2 linked regions of the Pelodiscus sinensis genome follow. The protein of the gene in region 1 binds, or shares a complex with, the protein of each later gene. Links are inferred from orthologs where the notes say so. Each region holds a gene or a part of one and is shown in the gene's direction. Other genes may lie near its edges.

Region 1 (6,954 bases):
AGAGAGATGGGGGGCGGGGGGTAAATGCCAGGGCCCCCTCCCCTCATGCCATGCTCCACCATAGAAAACCTGGGATGTGTCTGCAAGATAACACAATTGCCTCCCCTCCACAGTGATTCCCCCCTTTCTTCCCTCCAGGACTCCCCAACTCCTACCACCATAGAGAACCCAGGGGGAGACTGGGGAGTTCAATGTGGGAACACAGCCAGGGCTCCCTCCCACATCCTGGAGAAGCGAGAGCTGAGAATACTGTCAGCTTTTCCTCCCCATGCAGATGGAGAGGAGAGAGGAGGTCTCAATTTCCTTCCCCTTCCCTCCATACCATCCCCGGAGGCAAAGGGGACACCCAGAGGCTCACAGTGGCAGCTGCAGGTCCCCTTACAGACAGGAAACCCCCAGCTCTCCCCGAGGGGTATCCCAGAGGCTGCAGCAGGGTAGGGAGCACACTGCTTTACCTTTTGCAGCGGTTGGTCCCAAAGAGATCACGCAGAGTCTCCTTGTCCAGCAGCAGCTCTGTAGCCTAGGGGAGAAAGAGAGTGCAAGGGATGGAATCAGACAGAGCCTAGACACTGCCCCTCACAAGGCCTGTGGGGCTGCCTGGTCTCCAGACGTCCTCTGACCACAACTCTGTTGGTGTCAGGGAGATGGCATTTGGAGGCAGAACCCCGGAGGCCTCTAATGAAGGATGGGGTTCCATAGTCCCTTTCCCCACAGTCCCAGAGCAGGAACACCCCCCACTTGGAGCAGGGGCTGGATCTGAGGACAAGGGGAGGAGCAGAGGTCAAGACAGGACAGGCAAATGGTGGTGTGGGAAAGAGAATTAGCCTGAATCTGGGCTGTGGTGCTGGTTAGGGGGGAAAAGGGTCAGAGAGAGGCATACAGATGAGGGGAGGGAGGGGGAGGAAATGGGAACTAATCCTGAAGAATGATGCCACCAGCTGGCACATGGAGGCATGGATTGGGAGGATGTTACCTTTCCAAAGGCTCCTGTGGGGTCAGCAAGCATCCGCACCTGGGGGGGAAGGGAGAAAGGTTTAGGGAGCCAATGGGGAGGTGGCTGTGAGGCAGGGGCAAGGGCTAGGAGTGTCAAGTGCTACACCCAATCCTGGAATTACACAATCTACAGGCCCTTGCACAACCAACAACTCCTGCCAGGAAGGGAAGTGCTCCTGGTAGCCTGGATGAGTCACCCAGGGGTGGGGTAGGGCTCATGCAGCCTTGGGGTTAGGTAACATCTGGATGAGGGAGAAGAGACTCCTCCTCTGCCCCTTGAGACTCAACACCATACACCCCCTATAAAGACACTGCTCTGGGCCTTGACCCCTGCTCACTCCCCCTGCCCAGGAACCCCTAGTCCCACCAACCTCGCTCCCCTTGCTATGGCCCTGGTACACTGCACATTCCCTTTGGCTGGTGTCCTCACCAGCCCTCCGCTCCTCCAGGCTTTGGCATTGCGGCCCTCTCATCCTGGGTGCCATAGCTCAACTTCCACACTCACTCCTGCCTTGCCCCCCTTCATTTCCCTTGCCTTGGGCCCATGGGCCTTGTCCCCATCCCTCCTGCCCCTGCCCTTGCCCTGAGCTCCATGGGCCTTGTCCCCATTTACCCCTCCCACCTTGGCCTGAGCCCTCAGGGCCTTGCCCCCATGCCCCACCTTTCTCTGAGCCTTGTGGGCCTTGCTCCCGCTTTACCTTTCACTTGCCCTGAGCCTCATGGGCCTTGCCCTTACTTCTCCCCTCCCCCCCTTGCCCCCCCGACACACACACAACTTGCCCTGAGCCCCCTGGGCCTTGTCCCCATTTCTCCCTCCCACCTTGCCCTGAGCCTTGTGGGCCTTGCCCCCACTTCTCACCTTGCCCTGAGCCCCGTGGGCCTTGCCCCACTCACTCATGACAAAGACATCATTCACAGCCAGGCAGGCAATCAAGTCCATGCCCTTGGCCTTTAGTGCTCCGGCCTGCTCCACATAGCCTGGCAGGTGGGTCTGAGGAGAGCAAGAAGAGCATTAGTTTCCCAGCATGAGAGCAGAGTGGGGGGAGCATTAGACATCAGCCCAAGGAACCTCCTTCACCCAGCATGTCCCTCAGCACCCAGGGAGGGTGCTGGACAGGATATACTGAGCTCATATATGTGTCCCTTTCTCAGCGCATCCTGTGAATCCCTTCACTCCAGGGATGGGCTTGGGAGGAGGGGTGCTCTGGTGGATGAGTTCTGAGGAACTGGATGGGAATGGGGATACTCTGAGGAGTGCTTGAAGGCACCTTGGGATGGGGGCTTTTAGGGAGCAGGGAGCGGAGTCTAGGATAGGGATTACAAAGGGTGAGTGGGGGTGCTCTAGAGTCGGTGTGTATTCTAAAATGGGTAAGGTAGTGGGGGGGGGGGAGACAGGGAACTGCGGGGGGTCTCCAAACCTCACCTTGGAGCAGCCAGGGGTGAAGGCACCAGGCACCCCAAAGAGAATCCCCTTCTTGCCCTTGAAAAGTGCTGCCACATCCACTTTGGTATCAGGGTCTCCCTCGTACACCTCCACACTGGGCAACTTGTCTCCAACCTGGAGGACACAGAGGATGAGAGCTGGGGGAAGCCTTGCCATGTCTCCTTCCACCCCACCACTCAGGGCAAACATCTTCCCACTCCAGTGCAGGGGGTAGGAGCTACCCACACTCAGGAATTCCAACTAGGAGCCTGTTCCTCTAGCCCCAGCTATAACCCTCCCACCTCTGTCCCAGCACCAACAGGGCATGACTAGAACAGATGCAGATGTGGACCCTATGCAGCTGAGGACCAAGGGGGGGTGGGGTCTCCCTTCCCATCCAGCCAGCTTCCTGTCTCAGAAGCTGCCCCCCAGGCCTGGAAAGACACCCCTCCAGCAGAAGCACAAAGCCTATGATGAGCTTCCCCTTGGCATAGGGAGAGCCCCATGTGCACCCCTCAGTTGTGTCTATGTGCAAGGGTGCTGTCACAACAATCCAGGGCAGGGAGCAGGGTAGAGACTCAGTGACTCAGCACCTCTGCCTTGGAGTTTCCAAACAGATTACTCAAGCTCATAAGTTAGACACCTCCCCCAGTTCCCTGTCCCTCATACCCACCCAAAACCTTCTGGATTGCCATGTGTACTTCCCTTTAGAGATGTAATAGTATAACTGTTTGAACAGTTACGTGATAAGTCTGGGCTTATTAGTTACCATCAACAGTTACACACAAGCTCCCAGCCCTGCTCCCAGGGAGCCAGCTGCCCCCCCATGCTGTGGGCTCTATATCAAGAGCCTGCAGCACAGGGCAGCAATGAGCTGCCTGGGAGCAAGGCTGAGAGCCACACACTGGCTCCCAAGGAGCTGGCTGCTGCTGCCCCTCCGGCAGAAGGGCTGTAGGCGGAGCTGGTGCGAGCCTGGAGCCAGCTGAGAATTTTCAGTGGTTACAGTTGCTTAATTAACTGTTTTTAAACAGCCCTATTCCCTTTCACATCCAATAACCCTCCCACCTCAGCCTGCTCATCATCCCCCCACAATCCCAACCAACCTCCACGTCCCCCACTATCCCTTACAATCAACCCACCATCTTCAGCTCACACCTACCCTTCCCCCAGCCTCTACCCTGTTTTCCCTCTTGCACAATCCAGCTCCCTCTGCAGGCATGTATGAGGGTGGGGGGAGGAGGTAGAGAGGCGGGGAGGTTTGTGCGAATGGTGCAAAAGCACCCCCCAAGTGAGCATGCTCCAGCCAGCCAGGGGAAGGCTGGGGCTGATTTCCCACTTACTTGGGGGAGCCATGGGGGATGCATTCACACCTTTGTGGTGCACATTTACAAAAAGGCACCCACACCCACAGAAATTCCTGCATATGGGCCTGCTCCGACCCCAAGCTCCCCCCACTCCTGCCTCCCATTTCACCCCATAACCGAGCTCCCCTTCTCTGCAGCCTAACCCCTCCCCCATTTTCCCCTTCTCCATCCTGCCTTTCATTCACCCCCCACCAGTCCTTTCTACTCCCAACTTCTCCCTGCCCCCTAGATCTGGAGGGTGTGGGGCGCTCGGGGCCCCCTTGTTAGGCAAGAGCCCTGGGGGCACGGACACAGGTTCTAAGGATCCCGAGGCCAGGCTGGCGAGGGGGAGCCCTGATTCGGGAGGGGTGGCTCCGCTCGGGGCCCCGGTTCTCTGGCGGGGGCCCCGGCCGGCGGCTGATTTAAGGGGAGCCCAGACAGGGGCGGGGCAGGTTGGAGGGTTGAGGGCCCGGTGGCCCCTCTCACCGCCCCGCCCGCTCTCACCTTGACGGGCGCCATGACAGCCGCTGGGCTCGGCAGCTCCGGATCCTCTGGGCTCGGCGCCGGGGGCCCAGCCTGCAGCAGCCCCCGCCACACCCCTCAACACAGTCACCATGGAGACCGCCTGAATGACAGTTGCCAAGGAAACGGCCGGGGGGGGCTGCCACCTTCAGGGTGGAATGGAATGCCCATGCGCCGCAACCCACAAGTCTGTGTTTGCATAACATTTGCATATCATAGGTGGCTCATTTGCATGACAAGTTTGTACAGTGTTTTTTACACAGATTGATTTTGATTGGTAGCGCGGCATTAATTTGCATACAATTAACACAAGCTTTGTGATTCATGGCTGCTTTTCTTCTATCTTGTGCATATACTTAAATCAAAACTGCATGTAATTTGAATATTATTTGCATACATCAATCCCTTTGTTTCCAGTCCAATTCTTCTCTCTTCCCCTTTGGGACGAGAGGCCCAGTGGAGTAGCCGGGATCCCTCGGGGTGGCGCTCTATCTCCGCATCTCTCCGGAACCCTCAGCTCGGGCCCCGTGTTTCCCTTCCAGCCGCCGGATCCTTTTGAGTAAGGGACATTCCAGTCGGAAGCAGCGTTTGTGCGGGGGGGGGGTGCGAATTGAACCGGAAGTAGCCAAGTTTTGGCTTCCCACGTGAGTACGCGAGCGGCGCCCTGCGCGGGAGCGGCGCGAGGATGAAGCTGCTGACGCACAACATGCTGACCTCGCATGTGCGGGGCGTGCGGCCCGGGGGCGGCTTCCCCCTCCGTATCCAGGTAACAGGATCCTCCAGCAACCAGGGGCCCACGTCTGCCTGGGCTGATTTCCTCCCCCCATAGGCCTGATGGGGCCCCGGCTGCGCCTCATTGGCTCTTCCGCTCCCCGCAGGCCACCGAGGTGAAAGTGAGTAACGTGGACTTCAACCAGGAGTTCGTGGCACGGATGATCCCCAAGGTGGAGTGGGGGGCCCTGGTGGAGGCTGCTGAGAGCGTGAGTACGGGGGAGGGGCTAGCCCGTTCAGGGCATGGGTGGGAGGAGCTTGGCAGGGGGAGGAGCTCACTCTGGGCGCTATCATGGCAGATAGGCAGCATGGATCTGCACTGCAGCCTTTGGGGGGATTGGAGAGAAGTGGTTTTGGGAAGCATCTGAGTCGATAAGAGCAAACCCTCTCTTCTGGTGCAGCACTGTGACATGGATCTTCCTCCTCCTACAGCTGGGCCACCTGTCAGACCTGCCTCCCCAGCTGCCTCCTGAGTATGAGAACAATGAAGACTTCCTGAAGAAGGTGCATCATGTGCTGCTGGAGGTGAGATTCTTCTCCACAATCCTTGTCCACAACCCCCCACCAGCATCCTGTGTGGTGCAGGGCCCTGGCTCCCAGGCACCACAAAAACCCTGGCTAAGGTTGTATGACAGGGGCCTATGATACAAACACAGATCCTTTCCTGGTCTGGCTGAGACACCGGGGAGTTATCCACCCATAGAGACACTAGGGCTCCCTGGAATCCTCCAGCGTGGGGGACCTCTTTCAGTTGTTGCTCTTGTTCTAAATGTAAGCCCAGGGGACCCACTCACAGTGAGAGTATGTTGATAGTGCAGCGCATTCTCCCACTGCTCTAGCTGTGTGTTGAAATCCACTCTCATGGGTTCTGGCAGTTCAGCAGACACTCTAGCACTTGGATTATATGATCCTTTGGCTTTTGCAGAGCATCCTGCCCCCTCCCCAACTGCTAAGAATCATGAGGTGGTTAGGGAGTTGTGACTTCAGCAAAACACCTCTAATCTCAAACATTTGAGAGGGGAAAACTGGTGTTCTGGGGAAGTTCCAGCTCTCCCTTACAGCATTTCAGGTCTGGATTGGGTAGAGCCAGGGCACAGGCTGTCCACTGTAGCTGACCCGTGATTATTCCTCACACACAGGTGGAGGTGATGGAAGGTGTACTGAAGTGCCCTGATTCTGGCCGGGAGTTCCCCATCACCAAGGGCATCCCCAACATGCTGCTAAGTGAGGAGGAGACGTGAAGGGCCTGGGTGTCCAAGACGGAAAGATGGGGTAGGGGAGCTCCCTGAGGTGGGAGGGAGAGTCCTGTATGATGTAGAAGACAGTCTTTGCTTGTTTGGTTTGTGTATAAATAAAACTATGAGGTGGAGCCTGGCCTAGGGCATATCATCTATTAATTGTCCCTCCTCCCCTGCTGTGTCGCTCAGTCCTAACCTGCAGCTCTCAGCTATCCCAGCCCTGGGCTTCCTCCCACCCACTGTTGTGCTGGCGACTTTCTGTTCTAGTACCATCTCCATGCTTAGTCCTGGGTCTGTCCGAGCATTGACCTACCCCACACCTTGCACCGAACTCTCTGTTCCTCTTGGATAGTTATTTGGTTTGCAGTGGTACCTAGGAGTCCTAGACCTGAAACAGATCCCCCAGTGGAGTGGGCACTGCTCAGATACCCAGTCAAGAGCAAGGCCTCTAGTGGGCTAGGTGCTGCACAAACACAGAACAAGACAAAGATCCTGCTCCTTCTTAACTGCTAGGAAGGAAGACTGGACACAGACTGATATCTCCATGGTTTATTCTGGCTCTGGAATATAGCTCTATGTATGTGTGTGTATAGCACCTATACACAAAATAGAGGTATTTATAATATATACACATACATAATTTAATACAAACGCCCTCCATGTC
Region 2 (7,891 bases), on another chromosome or scaffold:
TAACTGAATGCATCAGAGGATGTTCTGTGTGTTCTCCTATGATTTAAAATGTCATGTCTGTTTGTCCATGAGCAGACTGCAGTGCTGCTTCCAGTGAACTCCAATATAGATATTTTCCATTAATAATAAATAGCATTTCTAAATTGTTTCAGTCCATTGTACATTTCAATGCCAATTATGATGAATTTATGCTCACAATGAAGTAATTCTGGGTGAAAAAAGAATGACGTCACTAAAGTGTTTTATGTATGAATGGTTCTGGAATTATGCAGGAGGATTTCTTTTTAAAATGACACAATGGTTATGAAATATCATTTAGAAAAAACAACAGCGTGAGTTCAATCATTGTTCATGAGAAGCATTTTGAAGATTTCTCTCACCCTCATTCAAACTTGTGATCATTATAAGATCTCATGGCACTTGTTATAAGAGACAGGGTGTTAACTCCAGTGCACTAGTCAAATTCCAATTTGGGTAATTACATATTGGTTACCTAAAATTACCCTGTAGGCAAAAACAAGAGGGATTGTTCTTCATTTCCCTTCCTAAAATCAATTATGAAATGTTATTGGTGTGGCTGTCATAGTCCATCTTCAAAATGACTACTTTTCAGTAGTACCATAGGAAAATAGTATCATATAAAATACAATGTGGGAATTTGTTTGGATTCTTTCAGGATCAAACATTCTGTATAAATATTTGCTATTAGACATGCTCTCAAAAGCAGAGTTGAGTAATATTCATTACAAAGACTCAACTTATGCTTTTGTTTGATGTCAACAATGACAATATGAAAACAAAGTTTTATATGTTAATACTAACGTGTATCTGTGTGCACATGTGCATGCAGTTCATTCATGTATTAAAATACAAAAATATAAAAGCTTATCCAGTGCTGTTTGTGACATGTTTAACATTTTAAATCTGAAGAAGTGGGCTGCGCCCACGAAAGCTTATGATACCATCTACATGTTTTGTTAGTCTATAAAGTGCTATCAGACCATTTGCTTGCTGTTTTTTTTCCCTGTAAACAGAAAACAACATATTCCGTAAGATGAGAAGCACATGAAGAGAAAATCATCTCTCCAAAAAGCTTAATTTTAAATAATGGATCAGATAACTCCTACTTACAAAATACCAGGGTAGAAACTAAATGGTTTAAAAAATCTCAAATGGGTCAGATTGGAAAAATAAAAGGTTACCTTCTGCTCAGTCTCTTCCTGCAATTCTAAACTGTTGTCAGTAACCCTGGACTAGCTGGAGACAGGGCCGGACTGAGCCATTCCAGCGCCCTGGGTTGGGGGAGGGCGCATGAGTGGCTCCGCCCCCACGCTGGCACGTGGAGGACAACACATGCGCAGCCCCACCCCCGCGCTGGCATGTGGGGAAGGGCGCATGCACAGCCCGGCCCCCACCCAGCGTATGGGGGAGGGCACGCGGAGCTGGCGGTGGCAGGACGCACATGCCCGGCCTGACCCAGCCCGGCTTCTGCCGCTGGCACGCAGCCCAGGGCCGCCCAGGGCGGGCCGAGTCTGGCCGTGCAGGGCCCCACGGCCGCGGCGGGAAGGGCGCTGCTGGCCGGTGCTGCGGGGGTTAACGTGGCTCCCACCGCGGGCGGCTGCTGCAGGGTGGCCACTGGGAGCTGCTGCAGCCCGCGATCCGGGAACCGGGCATGCGGCGCCTGATGGCAGCTATAAGGGGTGCTGTGCACTCCTTACAGCTGCCATCAGGTGCCCCCATAGGTTGGAACCCCAGGCAGCTGCCCGGCTAGCCCATGCCTTAATCCGGCCCTGGCTGGAGATTTCTGCTTAAATCATTAGCAGGGAAAGTTAGTAACATTGACAAACAATATGTCAAAAATTAGGTTTCAGCATTAAGATATTGAAACAAAGATGTGCTGATATCCAGGGCTTGCCGAACCACAGTGAGCCCCACTCGCCAGCTGCGCTGTCTAGCAATCTGTGCATGTGTAGCTCGTTCTGTGCATGCGCAGATCTCCCAAACCCAGCTCTTCCGGGTTGCAATCTACTCGCCAGGAGCATGCAGATTCCATTATTTGTCGAGCCCTGCTGATCTCTCTCAAAGCTGTTCTGTCCGTAGACTTAGTTCAAGTTTAAAATTATTTTGAGTATATAAGGGCTAGATTTTTTAAAGTAAAAGTTTAAATACTGCAGAAAACAAGGTAACTATTTAAGTTCTACTGTAGTGTCAGCCAGCACCAGCTCTTTCCAACTCCTGAACACAAATATATAAGGAATGCAGTCCATAGAGTACTTAGAAGTCACGAGCAAGTTCTTAAAATCTACAAGAAAAGCTATCATATGACCAAAAAAAGCTGCAAAATAGGAGTTGTGTGGAAATGGCCTAGTACTAATAAAAGGCTTAGTGAAATCTGGATAAGCTAAACCTTTCGGTGACCAAATAGAGACCCCAGACAGTAGGAATATAATCACTTCTACACGTTGGCGGCGGCGGCGGGGGGGGGGGGGGGGAATTAACCCAAAACACAGGAGAAAAAAATCTTTAAGAAAAAGAGAAAGAAAGTCTGCCTTTTTTTGTCCAAGGGGCCTTCATGTCTGTCACAATCCTGAGTTTCTCTCCATTTTTCCCATCACAGTTCACTTCTCACCCTCACAACTTTATGTAATAGCTACTGTCCTCTTTTGTACAGAAAAATGAATGCAACTCTCTTCATAAAAACTGTCAATGCTATTTAGTTAATCTTTCAGACAGAATCTAGATTGTGCCATTCCTTAGTCAGCGGGAGGGTGTCAATGGTTAGCAACATGAGGTATTCTTGCTAGGGATTTTAGCTAATGGGTAATAAAATAGTCAACTACCTGCATGAATTCTTAGTGGTTAGTTGACTATTCTATAGTCCCCAGGGGCAGGATCAGCAGCCAGTGTGCTCTGGCCCCGCTCCTGGGGAGCCCCTGCCAACCTGCACTGCTGCCTATATCAGAATGCCAGCTGGGAGCCGGGCCATGGGAGAGCCATTTTAAAAACCAGCTCTCCTTGTGGATTGGCTGCCTGCCACCCTGCACTGCTGCCTCTGATACAAGCTCCCTGCAGACAGAGTCTGCTGGTGGGAGCTTGCACCCGCTGTGGACAGGGGCTGCTGCTGCAAAGCAGCCTCTGCCCGTAGTGAGCCCAGGCTCGCCACAGACAGAGACTGCTTCATGGCAGCCTCCCCGGCCCTCCTCCCCTCCCCTGTGCTGCTGCTTCTAATAAAAGACAGCAGGGGGTGGCACAGGCAGCAACACAGAGCCCACTGCTGAGGGAGCAACTTTTAAGCCAGCTCCCCCTAGCACTGGCTTCTGGTCTCCCCCTTGCTGTCTCTGTATAAACCTAGGGTTATCAGTTAACTGTATACCTGACTACTCATTCAAATCCCTAATTCTTGTCCATCAGAGGGGAAAGCCCAGCCCTCAAGAGCATTTCCAACCTCTAAGGTAGTATTATATTGTAACATTTGTATGTCACATCAATGAAGTGTGAGGAGCTGTACAAAGCATTTGAAAACTGTCCCTTCCACACTGAGTTTAAGATTTATTTTTACTAGAATATTTTTACAACTAAGTTCTACCATTGCTTGTAAGGCATTGTTAGCAATAATGGGAGCTCAGTTGGAGCATATGAACCTACTCCCTGCAAGTCTAATTATCTAGTGCTGAAAACAGCTGTCAGAATCAGAAAGCTACATAAATGCATGAAAAGTTTTTGTAACAATTCCTGAACTGCTAGAATACTGCCTATATAGCACAAATGCTGCCAACATGATCTTGCTTCTAACTGGTTCTCTCACTTTTTTTTGGGGTGGAGCAAAACTGGAGTGGAGAATAAATATACATGTAATGAACATGGTCCCTACTTCATTACAGAGTATTTTACCAAACAATAGATAGTGGTAGTGAAACAATTACTTTGGTGAGCTTAGCACAAGAACTCAAACATCATTTGGACATTGCAACCTTTTCCCCCCCTCAGATGGAGAAAGAAGGCTGTAAGCCAGGACAAGAGAGGTAACCTACATCTTTTTGAAAGCTGCAACTGGATCTTTAGGGTCTACTTGGACATCCAAACAGGAATAAAAAGATGGATTTTAGTTCCATACTTTGCCTTATACTTAGCTTGTAGACTGTCTAGGCTAGGACATGGCCTATCTTATCTCTCTGTTTGTACAATGCTGAGCACACTGGGTCATATCTGTGTCTAGGGCTCCTACATTTTACAATCCAATTACAATCTCTTTTCTGAAGCTGCCTTTCCCAGTGCTGCCTTGCAGCATCAATGTGGCAAATCCCATCCCTGGGCAGCTTCTTCATGGCACAGCATTGTGGCCCTGGGGGCATCCTGCCTTCCCTGACTACTTGCAGGCAAGAGTACTCCAAAGAACGCTCCGGCGCCGGGGTTGAACCTATGAAGCCATTATGCACAAGCTCCCCCTTCTACCCTGAACGTTCCCATTTCACCCTCATGCCAGGGCGTCAGGTTCCCGGTTTTCCCTCCTGTTACCACAGAGGGCGCAGCCCCAAACCACTCTGGGAAGTCTCCTCCCGCAGCCTCGTCCATAGCAGCCCCCGCCCCGTGCGCTGCGCTCTGCTCCTTCCCCCGCACCCCGGAAATGGACCCGCCCCGCGGCGCTTCCCTTCTCCCAGCAACGCCAGCTGCGAGGCCTCAGCCTGCCCGGGGCAGCTCCTGGGGCAACCTCCGCCAGGCTTCCGCAGCAGCCACCGCGAGCTCGTAACGGGCCAAACAAGGCCCCGCCCCTGCCCGGCCCGGCCCCGCCCCGCTTCGGCCTGCACGAGCCCCCGCCCACCCCGGCACCCCGGGCTCCGCCCCCCTCCCCGGCGGCGCATGCGGGGCTGGGCGGAGGAATACTGGCAGGCGGGGGCGGTGCTGGTACCATGGCGCGCGGGCCGCTGTCGCGCTACCTGCTGCTGCTAGCGCAGGAGAACCTGGAGTTCCGGCTGCCGGTAAGAGCAGGGGGCGGGGCAGCCTCTGCTGGGCACGTGCCGCCTTCGGGGCAGGAGCTGGTGGGGGAGGGGCGCTTCTCCAGTGCAGCCTCGTGGGGGCTTGTGCGAACCTCAACCCTGGTCCGCTCCCGCCTTCGCCGCTCGCGGGGGCGGCTGCTGCCGCGAGCCTGGCTGGGGCCTGGGCCAGTCCTGTCCTAGCCTGGCATCGAGCTGGCTCCTGTGGGAGCTACAGGCTCGCTCGTCTCCTCTGTAGGTGGGTTAGGAGCGAGGCAAGCGGGTGCCACCCGGGGCGCAGGTCCCGCAAAAGCCAGCAGGGAGCTATTTACAGACCGGCAGGGACCCGGGTTGCAATGGGACAGTCCCATGTTAGACATTGTAAGTTACTTTCATTGCTGGGGGAGAGGGAATTGGGTTTATTACATCTGATGACTGCAACAGGGAAGGAGGGTCCCCAAATGGCTATTTGTCCAGATGGGCAGGGGCACAAAACCTCCAATGCTCAGAGTGTCTCTAACTCTCTGGCTGCCACATACTGGTATTGATGACAGTAGCAGGATCGCTCAACATTTGCCCAGGTCTGTTCCCTCGTAAGCATGCGGCATCATCTGTTGTCGGAAGACAGGATACTGGGTTAGATGGAAAATTGGTCTGACCCAGAATGACCCTTTTTGTGTTCTAACAAAAATGGAGTATTTACAGAATTGTAGATGAACCATTTCTGTTGGGGTTTTGTCCCCAGAGGCATAACTGGTTGCAAAAGCTGTGTAAATAGCACATAGGATTGAATTATCCTGCTGAACAGTTTTTGCAGATGCTTCATTGGTGGGTTGTAGCTATTGAGTGGCTTCTTTCTGCAACACTGTTTCCTGTAAAATTTTTATGGGTAATCTGAAATTCTCTGAAGTGGAGCTTGAGGTACAAGAATGTATAGGTTTCCAAATCTCTATAATAAAACTCTAGTTTATATTGAGTCTTCTTTAGTAGGGATGTGAATGTACAGGCAGTCCCCGAGTTACGCGGATCCGACTTATGTCGGATCCACAGTTACGAACGGGGCCGTCTCCCTGGTCTCCAGCAGACCAGGGAGAGGAAGCAAAGCGGCGGAACACACGGGCAGCGAACAGCCCAGACGCGTCTGGGCTGTCCGCTGCCCGCGTGTTCCGCCGCTTTGCTCCCCGTCGCCCTGGTCTGCAGACCAGGGAGACGGTGAGCAAAGCAGAGCAAAGCCACGGAGCCCGAGGGCAGCAGGACAGCCACGGCGCGTCTGGGCTGTCCCGCTGCCCCCATGCTCCGCGGCTTTGCTCCGGACTCCTGTGGTACAGCAGCTGGGGTGCTGCCGGTTGGTCCCATAGCGCCGCTCTGGGCGCTACTGGACCAACCCGGCAGCACCCCAGCTGCTCTGCCCCAGGCGTCCCCAAGTCAGCCGCTGCTGAAACTGACCAGCAGCTGACTACAGGAAGCCCCTGCCCCGGGCTTCCTGGAATCAGACGCTGATCAGTTTCTGCAGCAGCTGACTTGGGGATGCCTGGGGTTCTTAAGTTGAATCCGTATGTAAGTCAGAACTGGTGTCCAGATTCAGCCACTGTTGAAACTGATCAGTTTCAGCAGCGGCTGAATCTGGACGCCAGTTCCGACTTACATACAGATTCAACTTAAAAACAAACCTACAGTCCCTATCTTGTACGTAACCCGGGGACTGCCTGTAATGTGTTCCTGTGAACTTGGTTAACCAGTGAGCCTGGGCTCATCCGTTAACTCTCATGGTTACATACAGTCCCCCCACTCAGCACATGCCAGCTCCTATGGAGCTCCCTCCTACAGAAACGTGTGTGTGTGTGTGTGTGTGTGTGTGTGTGTGCGCGCGCGCGCTTGCAAGGAATTGGCTTAAAAACTGGCTCCCTGCAAGCACTGGCTTCCAGAGAGCCGATTGCCCCCTGCTCCCACCAACCCCCTGCCAAAAAACTGGCTCCCCGTGATTTCTTGGCTTATTTTGCTACAGTGTGGCAAGATTCTATATGATGATAGCAGGGCTACGTGAGGTCTGAGGTTTGTGTTTCTGAATATTTTGGTTTAGTTCCTGTATTGTGGATCTGTCTCCTTTTTTCCCCACATAAAGCCATGTGTCCTTGTGAAAGCTTTTGGGCTGAGAGTCTATATGAGAGAGGATAGAGGGTCTCAGTACTAATGGTGGGTTGAATTATGTATTTGTACAGGTTAAAGCTCCCAAATCTGGGACTCTCTGGTCCAGCAACATTTGTGGTCCAGCACGGATGTTGCTGGACCAACTAGCCCAGGATTGGGAGCCAGCTGAAAGAGCCTGGGGTTTGCAAAGTCCCGGCTGGGCCAGCAGAGGCTAGGCAGGGAAATCCTGGCATCAGCAGGATCAGGTGGCATCTGGGAGCTTCACCCACACTGGGTAACCCCAGTGTCAGTGGGGTCAGGAGTCTGGAGAGCCCCTGGCAGTGAGGCCGGTGACTGCCAGGGAACCCCTTGGCAGCAGCAGGGCTGGGATGGCCAGGGAGCCCTGACTGGGAAACCCCCGGAGACAGTGGGGCCAGGCAGGAGCTCGGGAGCTCTGGCTAGGGAACCCCAGCAGTGGGCCAAGCAGCAGCCAGAGGGTCCTGGCCCCAGCAGGGGAACCTTAATTGAGGAGCCTCTGCCCTGACTGGGGAACCCTCGATGTCAGGGGGGTCAAGCGGCTGGAGAGCCTCTGGCAACAGGACCAGCGGGACCCTGGGAACCCAGGAAACTCTCGGTGGCAACGGGTCTGGGCTGCAGCTGCGGGACTGGTGGCGGCTGGGTGGCTTGGGGTTTGAAGACCCCGAGGAACCGCTGGAGGTAGAGGGGCTAGAGTGGCTAGGCGGCCCTGGCTGGGGAACCTCTGCGAGCTCCTGGCACAGTTGGCAGGGAGGGGA

The links. The genes of interacting proteins can lie anywhere in the genome.
Region 2: TRMT112 (region 1) and TRMT11 share a complex: the UniProt entries of both Homo sapiens proteins name them as parts of the heterodimeric TRMT11-TRM112 methyltransferase complex. The link is inferred for Pelodiscus sinensis from reciprocal best matches to the Homo sapiens genes TRMT112 and TRMT11.

Annotation. Positions count from the first base shown.
Region 1 is NC_134721.1:33,162,290-33,169,243, forward strand, and holds TRMT112 (multifunctional methyltransferase subunit TRM112-like protein), read left to right. Parts: upstream 1-4,859; 5' UTR 4,860-4,966; coding exon 4,967-5,047; intron 5,048-5,159; coding exon 5,160-5,261; intron 5,262-5,484; coding exon 5,485-5,577; intron 5,578-6,191; coding exon 6,192-6,293; 3' UTR 6,294-6,454; downstream 6,455-6,954. Other genes in the region: PRDX5 (peroxiredoxin-5, mitochondrial), read right to left, coding at 456-520, 974-1,012, 1,853-1,984, 2,417-2,551, 4,264-4,278. UniProt on the Homo sapiens protein: Acts as an activator of both rRNA/tRNA and protein methyltransferases. Together with methyltransferase BUD23, methylates the N(7) position of a guanine in 18S rRNA.
Region 2 is NC_134713.1:89,807,034-89,814,924, forward strand, and holds the start of TRMT11 (tRNA (guanine(10)-N(2))-methyltransferase TRMT11), read left to right. Parts: upstream 1-4,884; 5' UTR 4,885-4,907; coding exon 4,908-4,976; intron 4,977-5,052; exon of another isoform or gene 5,053-5,339; coding exon of another isoform or gene 5,340-5,351; intron 5,352-7,891. UniProt on the Homo sapiens protein: Catalytic subunit of the TRMT11-TRM112 methyltransferase complex, that specifically mediates the S-adenosyl-L-methionine-dependent N(2)-methylation of guanosine nucleotide at position 10 (m2G10) in tRNAs.